Arabidopsis thaliana: one gene and its partner. The protein of the gene in region 1 purifies or fractionates together with the protein of each later gene. This does not show direct contact. Each region holds a gene or a part of one and is shown on either strand. Other genes may lie near its edges.

Evidence for each region. The genes of interacting proteins can lie anywhere in the genome.
Region 2: the proteins of AT1G72660 (region 1) and AT1G51730 fractionate together in Arabidopsis thaliana (co-fractionation; one large-scale study listed by BioGRID). This does not show direct contact.

The regions. Positions count from the first base shown.
Region 1 is NC_003070.9:27,351,921-27,357,392, forward strand, and holds AT1G72660 (P-loop containing nucleoside triphosphate hydrolases superfamily protein), read left to right. Parts: upstream 1-1,844; 5' UTR 1,845-2,014; exon of another isoform or gene 2,015-2,181; 5' UTR 2,182-2,240; coding exon 2,241-2,310; intron 2,311-2,427; coding exon 2,428-2,495; intron 2,496-2,576; coding exon 2,577-2,653; intron 2,654-2,682; exon of another isoform or gene 2,683-2,748; coding exon 2,749-2,929; intron 2,930-3,014; coding exon 3,015-3,071; intron 3,072-3,177; coding exon 3,178-3,252; intron 3,253-3,416; coding exon 3,417-3,536; intron 3,537-3,699; coding exon 3,700-3,870; intron 3,871-4,029; coding exon 4,030-4,143; intron 4,144-4,274; coding exon 4,275-4,445; intron 4,446-4,527; coding exon 4,528-4,623; 3' UTR 4,624-4,932; downstream 4,933-5,472. Other genes in the region: TRFL6 (TRF-like 6), read left to right, coding at 1-388, 629-766, 941-1,225, 1,302-1,358, 1,477-1,563; iqd8 (IQ-domain 8), read right to left, coding at 4,978-5,472. UniProt on the Arabidopsis thaliana protein: Binds GDP and GTP, and has low GTPase activity.
Region 2 is NC_003070.9:19,185,979-19,190,546, reverse strand, and holds AT1G51730 (Ubiquitin-conjugating enzyme family protein), read left to right. Parts: upstream 1-1,741; 5' UTR 1,742-1,908; coding exon 1,909-1,915; intron 1,916-2,083; coding exon 2,084-2,149; intron 2,150-2,233; coding exon 2,234-2,301; intron 2,302-2,419; coding exon 2,420-2,453; intron 2,454-2,540; coding exon 2,541-2,610; intron 2,611-2,690; coding exon 2,691-2,748; intron 2,749-2,875; coding exon 2,876-3,004; intron 3,005-3,126; coding exon 3,127-3,218; intron 3,219-3,326; coding exon 3,327-3,405; intron 3,406-3,491; coding exon 3,492-3,573; intron 3,574-3,661; coding exon 3,662-3,735; 3' UTR 3,736-4,059; downstream 4,060-4,568. Other genes in the region: SYP81 (syntaxin of plants 81), read right to left, coding at 1-66, 151-396, 503-646, 952-1,056, 1,160-1,243, 1,407-1,484; AT1G51720 (Amino acid dehydrogenase family protein), read right to left, coding at 4,250-4,325, 4,455-4,528.

The DNA.
Region 1 (5,472 bases):
GATGGGAGATGACGTAAGAGCTACTAAAATGAAAGATGCTCCATCGAGTACTGATCATGTGAATGGACATTCAAACGGTGGCAACCACTATTACGCTAGTGAGGATTATTCCAGTGAACAGAGGGCTGCAAAACGAGTTAGGAAGCCTACACGAAGATACATTGAAGAACTTTCGGAAACAGATGATAAACAGCAAAATGACAAGTCAGTGATTCCTTCTAAAGATCAGAGGTTGTCCGAAAAATCTGAGGTCAGGTCTATCAGTGTCTCCTCAGGGAAGAGAGTTACTGTCACCAGGATGGTATCCCTTGCTGGATCTGAAATTGAGGTTCCTTATGTTTCTCATGTCCGGAGAAGCCGTCCAAGAGAGAACATTATGGCTCTTTTGGTATGTCTCTTGGTTACTCATGCTCCTCAATATAGTAAATTAATCTCATACCTTTCCTTTGAACTGAAAAAAGCTTCCAATCATCTGGCTCGTGTTACATCTGTGCCTTGTGTCACATGCCAAATTCTATCTCAAGAAGCACAGATGTAAAAATAATAAAATAAGTGATCATCTTCTATGCCATTATTTTGCTTTGCTGTTATGTCGGAATGTAATTAAGGATTTTACAACATTGTGTAGGGATGTCATTCCAGTTACTTGGAAGATAAAGCTAGTGCAGCAGAGAGTAACCTCAATCTGAGTCCATCCCAGTTAAGCAGTGAGGTTGTGAACCGAGATTCGGTGGAAAAGTCTGCTTCTCGACCGGTCCAAAACGAAGTAAGAGATATCTGTTGTTTAAGTTACCTTACTCTCGTAATTCTCATTTCGTACTTTGCTGATAGTAGAAATGGTATAGGGTTAGATCTCATTTACCATCTACCTGATATAAGATGAATTTGGTGTTCCAGGTATGACACAGTTTCTCATTGCTTTATTGGTTTGCGAATGCAGTTTGCTACAAGTGACGAGAACAATGTGGAGCATATTCTCTCTGAGGTTGATCAAGAGATGGAGCCAGAGCACATAGACTCATCTGGAAATAGCTCGGATGAGAATAACATTGGTGTGCCAATCATGCAAGGTGGTGCGCTTAGAAGGAAGCATCATCGAGCTTGGACTCTGTCTGAGATAGCAAAACTAGTTGAGGGTGTATCAAAATATGGAGCCGGGAAGTGGTCTGAAATCAAAAAGCATTTGTTTTCATCACACTCCTATCGTACCTCTGTAGATCTCAAGGTAATTCAACCTTTTTAACCCTCTTTGCTTATACTATCAATCAAGGCTTTGGTTTAAACATCTTGTTGTTTTTTAGGACAAATGGCGAAACCTTTTGAAGACAAGCTTTGCTCAGAGTCCCTCAAACAGCGTGGTACCTCCCTCTCTCTCTCTCTCTCTCTCTCTCTCTCTATCCCTTTAGCTTCCAACTGGAGTTTCTTTTGCTCAAGTTGTAATAACGAGAGCTTATGAGTATACTGTCGTGTTTCCAGGGAAGTCTCAAGAAACATGGGTCGATGCATATTCCTACGCAGATTCTGTTACGGGTAAGGGAGCTTGCGGAGAAGCAATCTCAGTAAGCAAGTTTGTTGGAGATAGCAACAGAAAGGAAATGGAAACAAGGTCCGACTTCTTGTAGCTGAGTTTTTTTTGTAAAATAGCAACTCAAGTAAGGGAGACGAGAAATGTGAGATAAGATAACAGTTTCTGTAGTAGACTTGTAACTTTCTAAGGAGGCTTTGTGGGTTATATATATTTATGAGAAAAGTATTAAGTAGTGTCTGTGTCCTGAATTGGTATGAATGATTCTCTATAATATCCATGGAAGTTTGACTCGGACTTGAATTGGGCCTTTTTTTGTATTCGATCCATTATTCCTTGGAGGTGGTTCTCGACCAACACGTACATGTATCTTTCTCGCTTTCTCTAGAACCATCCTACCCCTATTAACTCATCAAAATTTCTCTCCTTTCATGCAAAAGCTTCGATCTTTTAATGTTGTTTGATCGGTAGACAATCGATGCCAAAGTGGTGAGATTTTGTTTGTTAGATATGTTACTAATTTTAGAGTTCTTTAGATGATTTATCTCAGTTTAAAGTTTGTGTCTTTTTGAGTTAATGGTTAATTTGGTGGTGATTTTATGATTTGCCTTTGAATTCTGTCTGATTGTTGTTGGTTCTTTTTATGCTGAAACTAGTGAAGATACCTCAGTCCTTACCTATCTCCAGAAATTGCAGTAGTAGATTCTGAAAGAAAATGGGAATTGTGGAAAGGATAAAAGAGATCGAAGCCGAGATGGCTCGGACGCAGAAGAACAAAGCTACAGGTTTCTCTTTACATTATATAACGTATAGATGTATAGACATTGATTTGTCATATATTTCTGAAACAAAAGCAGAAGAAATGGTCAGCTAATGAAAATATTGTTACATTTTTTGGACAGAGTATCATCTTGGTCAGCTCAAGGCAAAAATTGCAAAGCTCAGAACACAACTCTTAGAGCCTCCAAAAGTAATGCAACTTCTTATTGTATATAGCTGAAGCAGAGTATTTAGTCTTCATTTCTAAATGTCTTTCAAATCTACCTAACAGGGCTCTAGTGGAGGTGGGGATGGTTTTGAAGTTACAAAGTATGGGCATGGACGTGTTGCACTTATAGGATTTCCAAGGTCTATCCTAAATTCACGCCCATCCATGATCCATGTATATGTCTTTGTTCCAACTTCAGAGTCCCTCACTATGTGTTTGTGGCTGTGATTTGCAGTGTTGGAAAGTCTACGCTTTTGACAATGTTAACTGGCACACATTCTGAAGCAGCCTCATATGAATTTACAACACTTACATGCATCCCTGGAGTTATTCACTACAATGACACCAAAATCCAGTTGCTTGATCTTCCTGGGATTATTGAAGGTGCTTCAGAAGGAAAGGGACGAGGGAGGCAGGTTTAAATCGAATTGATTCTTATTTTTTTTAGTCTCTAATCCCTTGCTATGAAATAAACTTAGATGGAAACTGTTTGTTTTTCAGGTTATTGCTGTTGCAAAGTCTTCAGACCTTGTGTTGATGGTTCTTGATGCCTCAAAAGTACGAGCTATGGTTTTGATTTCCATATAAGTATTGTGCTGGTTCTGTCTTTTTTTCGTTTTTGCTATTTTAGTCTCAGTACTTCTTCTTCCCAAAATCGTTTTAGAGTGAAGGCCACAGGCAAATACTGACTAAGGAGCTTGAAGCAGTTGGTCTGCGTCTGAACAAAAGACCTCCACAGGTAAATCTCATCTTTATCAATGGTCTCCCTTAATATCTTATAAACTAGAAACTCTTGGTTCTCTTTCACTTTATCTGCTTAATTTCTGTTTTCCATCTTTGAAAATGCTGCACTATCTTGATGTGCTACCATTTAGTGGTGTTTTGCTTTCTCTGGTCTAACAGATATACTTTAAGAAGAAGAAGACTGGTGGGATTTCTTTCAACACTACAACCCCCTTGACTCGCATTGATGAGAAGCTCTGTTATCAAATTCTGCATGAATACAAGATTCACAATGCTGAGGTACTTAAGTCCATCTTTAATCTTGTTTTTATTCAGCCTCGGACAAGAATCATTACGTGCCTCTCTTGTCCGCTAGTTAGGAGAAGAACTATAAAAACTTTAAATCATATATTTTGTTGCTTCGTTGAGAGATGTCCAATGGGTTCAGTAATAAAAATTTCAGGTTCTATTTCGTGAAGATGCTACGGTGGATGACTTTATTGATGTCGTTGAAGGCAATCGCAAATACATCAAATGTGTATATGTCTACAACAAAATAGATGTTGTTGGAATCGATGACGTTGATAGGCTGGCACGGCAGCCAAATTCTATTGTTATTAGCTGCAACCTAAAGGCAAGTTCTTTTATTTTGACTATAGTAGTGTCTAAATAAGAATCCTATCCAGTGCGGTTCTAGGTTCTTCATAATGGTCTGATTCCTGTATAGTCTGAAACTTGTGAATATACTGGAACAGTCTGGTCTAATGGTAAATGATGGTGTTGCTTGAAACAGCTAAACTTAGACAGACTACTTGCAAGAATGTGGGACGAAATGGGACTTGTGAGAGTTTACTCAAAGCCTCAAAGCCAGCAACCAGATTTCGATGAACCCTTTGTCCTCTCAGCTGTAAGTATAATATCCTCAACACTATTCAGGCTTATTTTGTATAGATAAGAATTTACAGATATGTTTTTCATGTTTGTACTTCACAATAACATCTGTGACAGTAATATTTGATTACATGTGTCACTCCTCAGGATAGAGGTGGCTGCACAGTTGAAGATTTCTGTAACCAAGTCCACAGAACTCTGGTGAAGGATATGAAGTATGCACTAGTTTGGGGCACAAGCGCTAGGCACTACCCTCAACACTGTGGTCTTTTTCATCATCTTGAGGATGAAGATGTTGTTCAAATTGTCAAGAAAAAGGTACAGAAGCATAAACTATTTTCTGATCTCTGTCTCATGATGAGAATGCTACATCAAATGTTGATGCTTGTCGAAATTTCAGGTGAGAGAAGAAGGGGGAAGGGGACGGTTCAAGTCACACTCGAACGCACCTGCTAGAATTGCAGACCGAGAGAAGAAAGCTCCACTAAAGCAATAAAACAGTTACTCATCCTGAGTTATCCCAAGTAATACAGATCTCATGTGTATTAGAACTATGTAATAGTTGTTGCTCACCAATTCTACTGTAAATTCTGTTCTTAGTCTATAAAAAGGCATTGGCATTCATATCTTGATTTCATATTGACAAGAGCTAGGAATAGATTGTTTCAGAAATACGAGAAGTAAACGATTAATGATCCAAGTGCCAAACAACGACATTTGTAGTCTCGAAACTAATTCCTTAACATTCATATGTAAAAAAAAGATAAACAGAAGTTGCTTCTGTATCTATATTCCGTGTATGTGTTTCATGGGACCAACAAGCTGTTGAGATGATTGAAGGCACGATTGCTTAGCCTCTCTGGCTCTTTGCCCACATATGTCTTCCTGTTACTTGAGCTGGTGGGTATAGATCAGTCCACTGGTTGTTCAACGGATCCGAACCAGCACTACGCCTTACATTTACATCTCCGTTGTAAGACATTGACTGTTTCTTTTCAAACGGTGTTTTGGAACAAGAGGACGAAGACCCTGATCGTCTCTGCTTAGCTTTAATAGATTGTGTGAGGCTCATGTAGCTAGGCTTTCTGTAGTACCCTCCTTCCTCAAGGAAACTTCCCGAGAAGGGAACTGGGGATTGAGAAGTCGATGAAGACTCAGAACTCGTAGCAGACGATGACATTGGAGGAGGTCTAGCCAAAACTCTGGTTGTGAGATTGTTCTTCCTGACCTGAACCGTATCATGTTCAGACACACTGCTCTCGCTTTTCCTTGCATTTTCTGATGAGTTTGTAGGACCTTCCATCAACCGACCTTCCCATGGCCTGTCTGCAACCCATCGGTCAAG
Region 2 (4,568 bases), 8.2 Mb from region 1:
TGCAGACATCTCCACCATCTTAGTTTCTGTCTGCCTAGCACCATCTAAAAGATTACTTAGCTCTACCTGCAAAAATTATCAATTTCAAAATTTAGCATAACTACAAAACTTATGCAAGTTTTCGAAGATCATGTATATTTGCCTTGTTACCTGAAGGGCTTGTGTTTCATCGTCTAGAAGTTGTTGTTGTTGTAATCTACGAGGTTGGGCCTGGATTTCATCCGGTTCTATGGACTCCGAATTTCCCAGAGTTGTATTAATTGGGGTAGCTTCCTTTATGACCCTCTTAGGTTTTCTTCTCGGCATAGCTCTGTTTATAATATCTTGGAAACGAGTAGCTCTAAGCTGATCAAACTGGGCAGTGACTGAATGAAGTTTCTCACTCAGAATCAAAACCTGCATACAAAAAAAATTACCATTACTTCTACACATCTAGATACTTTGAAAGAAAACATAGTAAAAAAAAACCAAAGTTGGCTTACTACATTGGTGCATATCATACCACTCCATGTTTGTGTGCTATAGAATCAGCATTGAAGTTATCTGCGGGGAGGCCAAGCCATCCTTTGGAGTTTGCTTCTTCATTTCTAATACTGTTTATGAGAATATCGATCTGTTCTTTGCAAGCTTTAATAAAAGCAGCAACCTGCAAGAGGGAGAGAGAGAGAGTTTGATGATATTACACAACACATAAGTAGACATAGTTCTCGATCAAACACTGCAAGAGGTATAAGAATACAAGATCCAAGTTCCTCAGTGTCACAATATACTAACTCCCTCGCTATCTAAAGTAATAGACATTAATCTTCCTGAGTTATCTCAATATGAGTTGCTACATTTCTTATGATTCCATAGTTCCATATGTTCAATCTCAACTCAAGCATAGATTTATCGCAGTAACTTCATGAGTTCAGATATATACTACGGGCAAGCCTAGCTCAGAGTACTTACTTCTTGTTCAATACTATCCTTTTCCTGTTCTGTAGTCCGGTGCAGATCAACATAATCCTTTCGATGCTTCAACATAAACAGTTCCAACTCCTTGATGCTATCAAGCTAAATCAACCAACATAGACAAGTTGGTAGCAACACCACATCAGAATCATTCAATAATGCAACAAACATATTTCAGATAAAAATGCTGAATCACTAAAGGTACCGTTTTGAAAGCAGCTTTCGTGAAAGGCGATCTCTCCTTTGGCTTATGTATAATAAAAGACGCCATTGTTGATGCCACTTTAGACTGCCACACAAATACAAACGAATCAGATAAATGTTAACAAAAACAACAATCCAAAACCCTGAAAACCCTAAGGAATGATCATAATTGAGATGCAAAAAAATCCTCTCTTTTTGACAAATAGCTTCGATCAAACGAGATTGAAGACGAAAGGTGACTCGCGTACCTCATTATAACCTATCGAAACAGCGGAATTCCGAACAGAATCCTTGAAATCCTCCGTCCTGTCTCTGAATCTCGACATCTTGTACCCAAAATTCAGATCGATCAATGCTTATTCTTCCTTATCAATCAATCAGTCAATAGCTTCAAAAAAACAGTCTCTTTAGATTCAAAGAAGGGTTTTTTTCTCCGGCGATTCGGAGAAGAAACCCAAAGGAAATCGAAGAAGAAGAGGGTCACAGAGAAGATCGGAGAGGAGAAGAGAAGCGAGAAGAGAGAGAGAGAGAGAGAAAAAGGCCTTTCATTTTTTTCTGTTTCGTAAAAAATAAAATAAAGTGAGAAATCCATTCGACGACACCGTTTTGGGGATCGTAAAGTTCTGATTCTCTCCTTTAGGTTTATCTCTCGTTAACGTCGCTCTTGGTCACGAGGCGACTCTCACTGTGGAGTTCGATATTCAGGCAATCTCAAAAGCTTCCACGACAAAGGTGTCAAATTTGGTCATCATGACGGGTGAGTTCGATCAATTTACTTCAAAAGTTTCTTAATTTCTTCGTTTAACATCGAATCTTTGATTCCTTAAGCTTATCATTAGATGGGAGAGTAATTAGATTCCGATTGATCTTGATTTCTGACAGATTGATTTGAGAATTATTGGGTGTTATGTTGTGTCTCTTGTAGAGTATAAGCAGGAGCAGGAAATGGAGATTGAAGCTCTTGAAGCTATACTTATGGATGAGTTTAAAGGTGAGTTTTTTTTAGTTTCCTTGTATGTTCATCATTGAGCCGATGATGAGAGCATTGAATCCTTAACGACTGTTTTGTGAACAGAAATTCATTCTAGTGAAAGTGGGCTTAATACTTCGAATCGATGCTTTCAGATTACAGTGACTCCTCAGGTAGACAACACCATTCATCTATTTCCTTCACTTTGTTTGTCATTTGTGAAAAGCTTATGTGTTATAAGTGTAGAAATGTCAACTGAAATATCTTCTGCTTCTTCTTTGGTCTTTATAGGATGATGAACTGGAGGAATTAGCAATCCCACCAGGTTATTGGTCTTTAAAGAAGATACCTTGTTGTATCATATGCCTCTCCTGTACTTTCTCAGTCTTATAGCTCTCAATTTGTCTTGCAGTTCAGCTGGCTTTGGTTTTCTCGCACACAGAAAATTACCCGGACGAGGCTCCGCTTTTGGATGTTAAAAGGTAATTCTTGGTTAACCAATTTTATCAAGCTAAAACAGATATATGATGATGACACTCATGTGGGTAGAGTATTCTTCCAGTATTCGAGGAATCCATGTTAGTGACCTCACCATCTTGAAAGAGAAGCTTGAACAAGAGGTAATATATTTGTACAACTTTATGGCTTGTTATAAATTTTATACATGAAGTATAAAACTGGAAGGCCTCTGGTCTATGCTGTTTCTACACCGAATTGCATGCCTGAACACAAAGCTATTTTTCACAGGCATCTGAAAATCTAGGTATGGCCATGATCTATACACTGGTCTCATCAGCAAAGGACTGGTTGTCTGAACACTATGGGCAAGATGATGCAGCTGAATTTGCCGAAGTAGAAGCTGCCAAAGAGGATGAGGTATTGTTGTCTGCTCAGTATTTCAGATATAAGCTGCAAAGAACCTCAAGTCTTTTTTGCATGATATATGTGTCTGCCTTCGTATCGCTTGTTCTCTTCCTGTCTAAATTTTATTTTTGCAGGTAATTGTCCCTCATGGAGAACCTGTTACGCTAGAGACATTTTTGGCGTGGAGAGAGAGATATGAGGCAGAGCTTGCACTTGAGCGAGCCAAGTGAGTAAACTTTCCCTGCATATTCTTCTTGTTTCCTTGCTCTTATATACCATTGAACACTGACTGAGTTATTAATTTTTTATCTGTGGCCGTGAATTAATTTCTAAGGTTGATGCCGGAGTCTGCTCTTACAGCACCTAAGGAGAAGAAGCTTACAGGAAGACAGTGGTTCGAAAGTGGGAGAGGGGTATGTCTCATTCTTGTTTATTATCGGACTCATGTTAGAATTTCATTATCTAAACAAGTACTATTGTTGTTAACTGTCTTGTTCAGAGAGGAACGGTGGTCATTGCTGATGAGGAAGATGAGGAGGAAGATGAGGAAGACATCGACTTTGAAGACGAAGACTTTGAAGGTGAAATAGTCTTTCTTTTTGGTTTACACGCGATTATCCATAAGCAACCAATGGTTCTCAAGAACCGCTTTGTTTTTTTTTGATACAGATGACGAAGAAGACATGCTTGAGCACTATTTGGCGGAGAAATCTGATTCTTCCGCTCCCCCAACAAGGACATGAAGCTAAGGGAGAGCCTTATATACTGATAATTGAAGCTCTTTTCTGGATAGAGATCATGATGCAAGATACTGACCTTGCATTGAGAAGCATTTAATCTCCATATCTTCAGTTTTCCGAGTTTTGATCCACTCAAGAGTACCCTGAGAATTACCATTTGTCTTAAATCTATAAAATTTACCATGTCATCTATAAAAACACTGTAGGAGAGAATGCCACTGATTTTGTAACTTTTTTGTTTAGCATCAGCTCAAAGCAAATCTCTCTGTCAAAAGACAAATAGTTAAAATTTGGACCCTTGCAACCTTGTTTAAGCTCTGCGTTATCAGTTTCTTCCATCTTTGTTAGTCACATAACTTAAGTTAACATACTATGGCTGAAAAAGGTTTATTCCTATCAGAGTATGTAATTTCTAAATAATGATATAGATTTCCATCTAATATGTTACAGAGAGTCCAATGTTACTTCATTACGTTTACAGAACTCCTGCCGGTACTTAAGATGCAGGGCCATTTTGCTAGACACAACCTTGGTCCGTCATGGCTTGAGCTATGTTCAAAAATGCTGCAATCGTTGCTCCATGAAGTAGTGCCCTGACATCAAAACCGAATATTATTCCAATCCTTTGGATTCACAATAGTAACGAGCACGAGGAAGCTACAGAGCAGCTTAGGCCAACATAGTACAGTAACTGTTGGTTTATGACGAGGAGAAAAACTTACTCAGGACTTTCTTTTTGATAACCGAAATCATTTGCTGCTTTAAGAGCTTTTTCATAAGTCTGCTTCAGTGCTTCCTATCAATATCAGAGCAGTTATCTTAATAGGAAATTATCA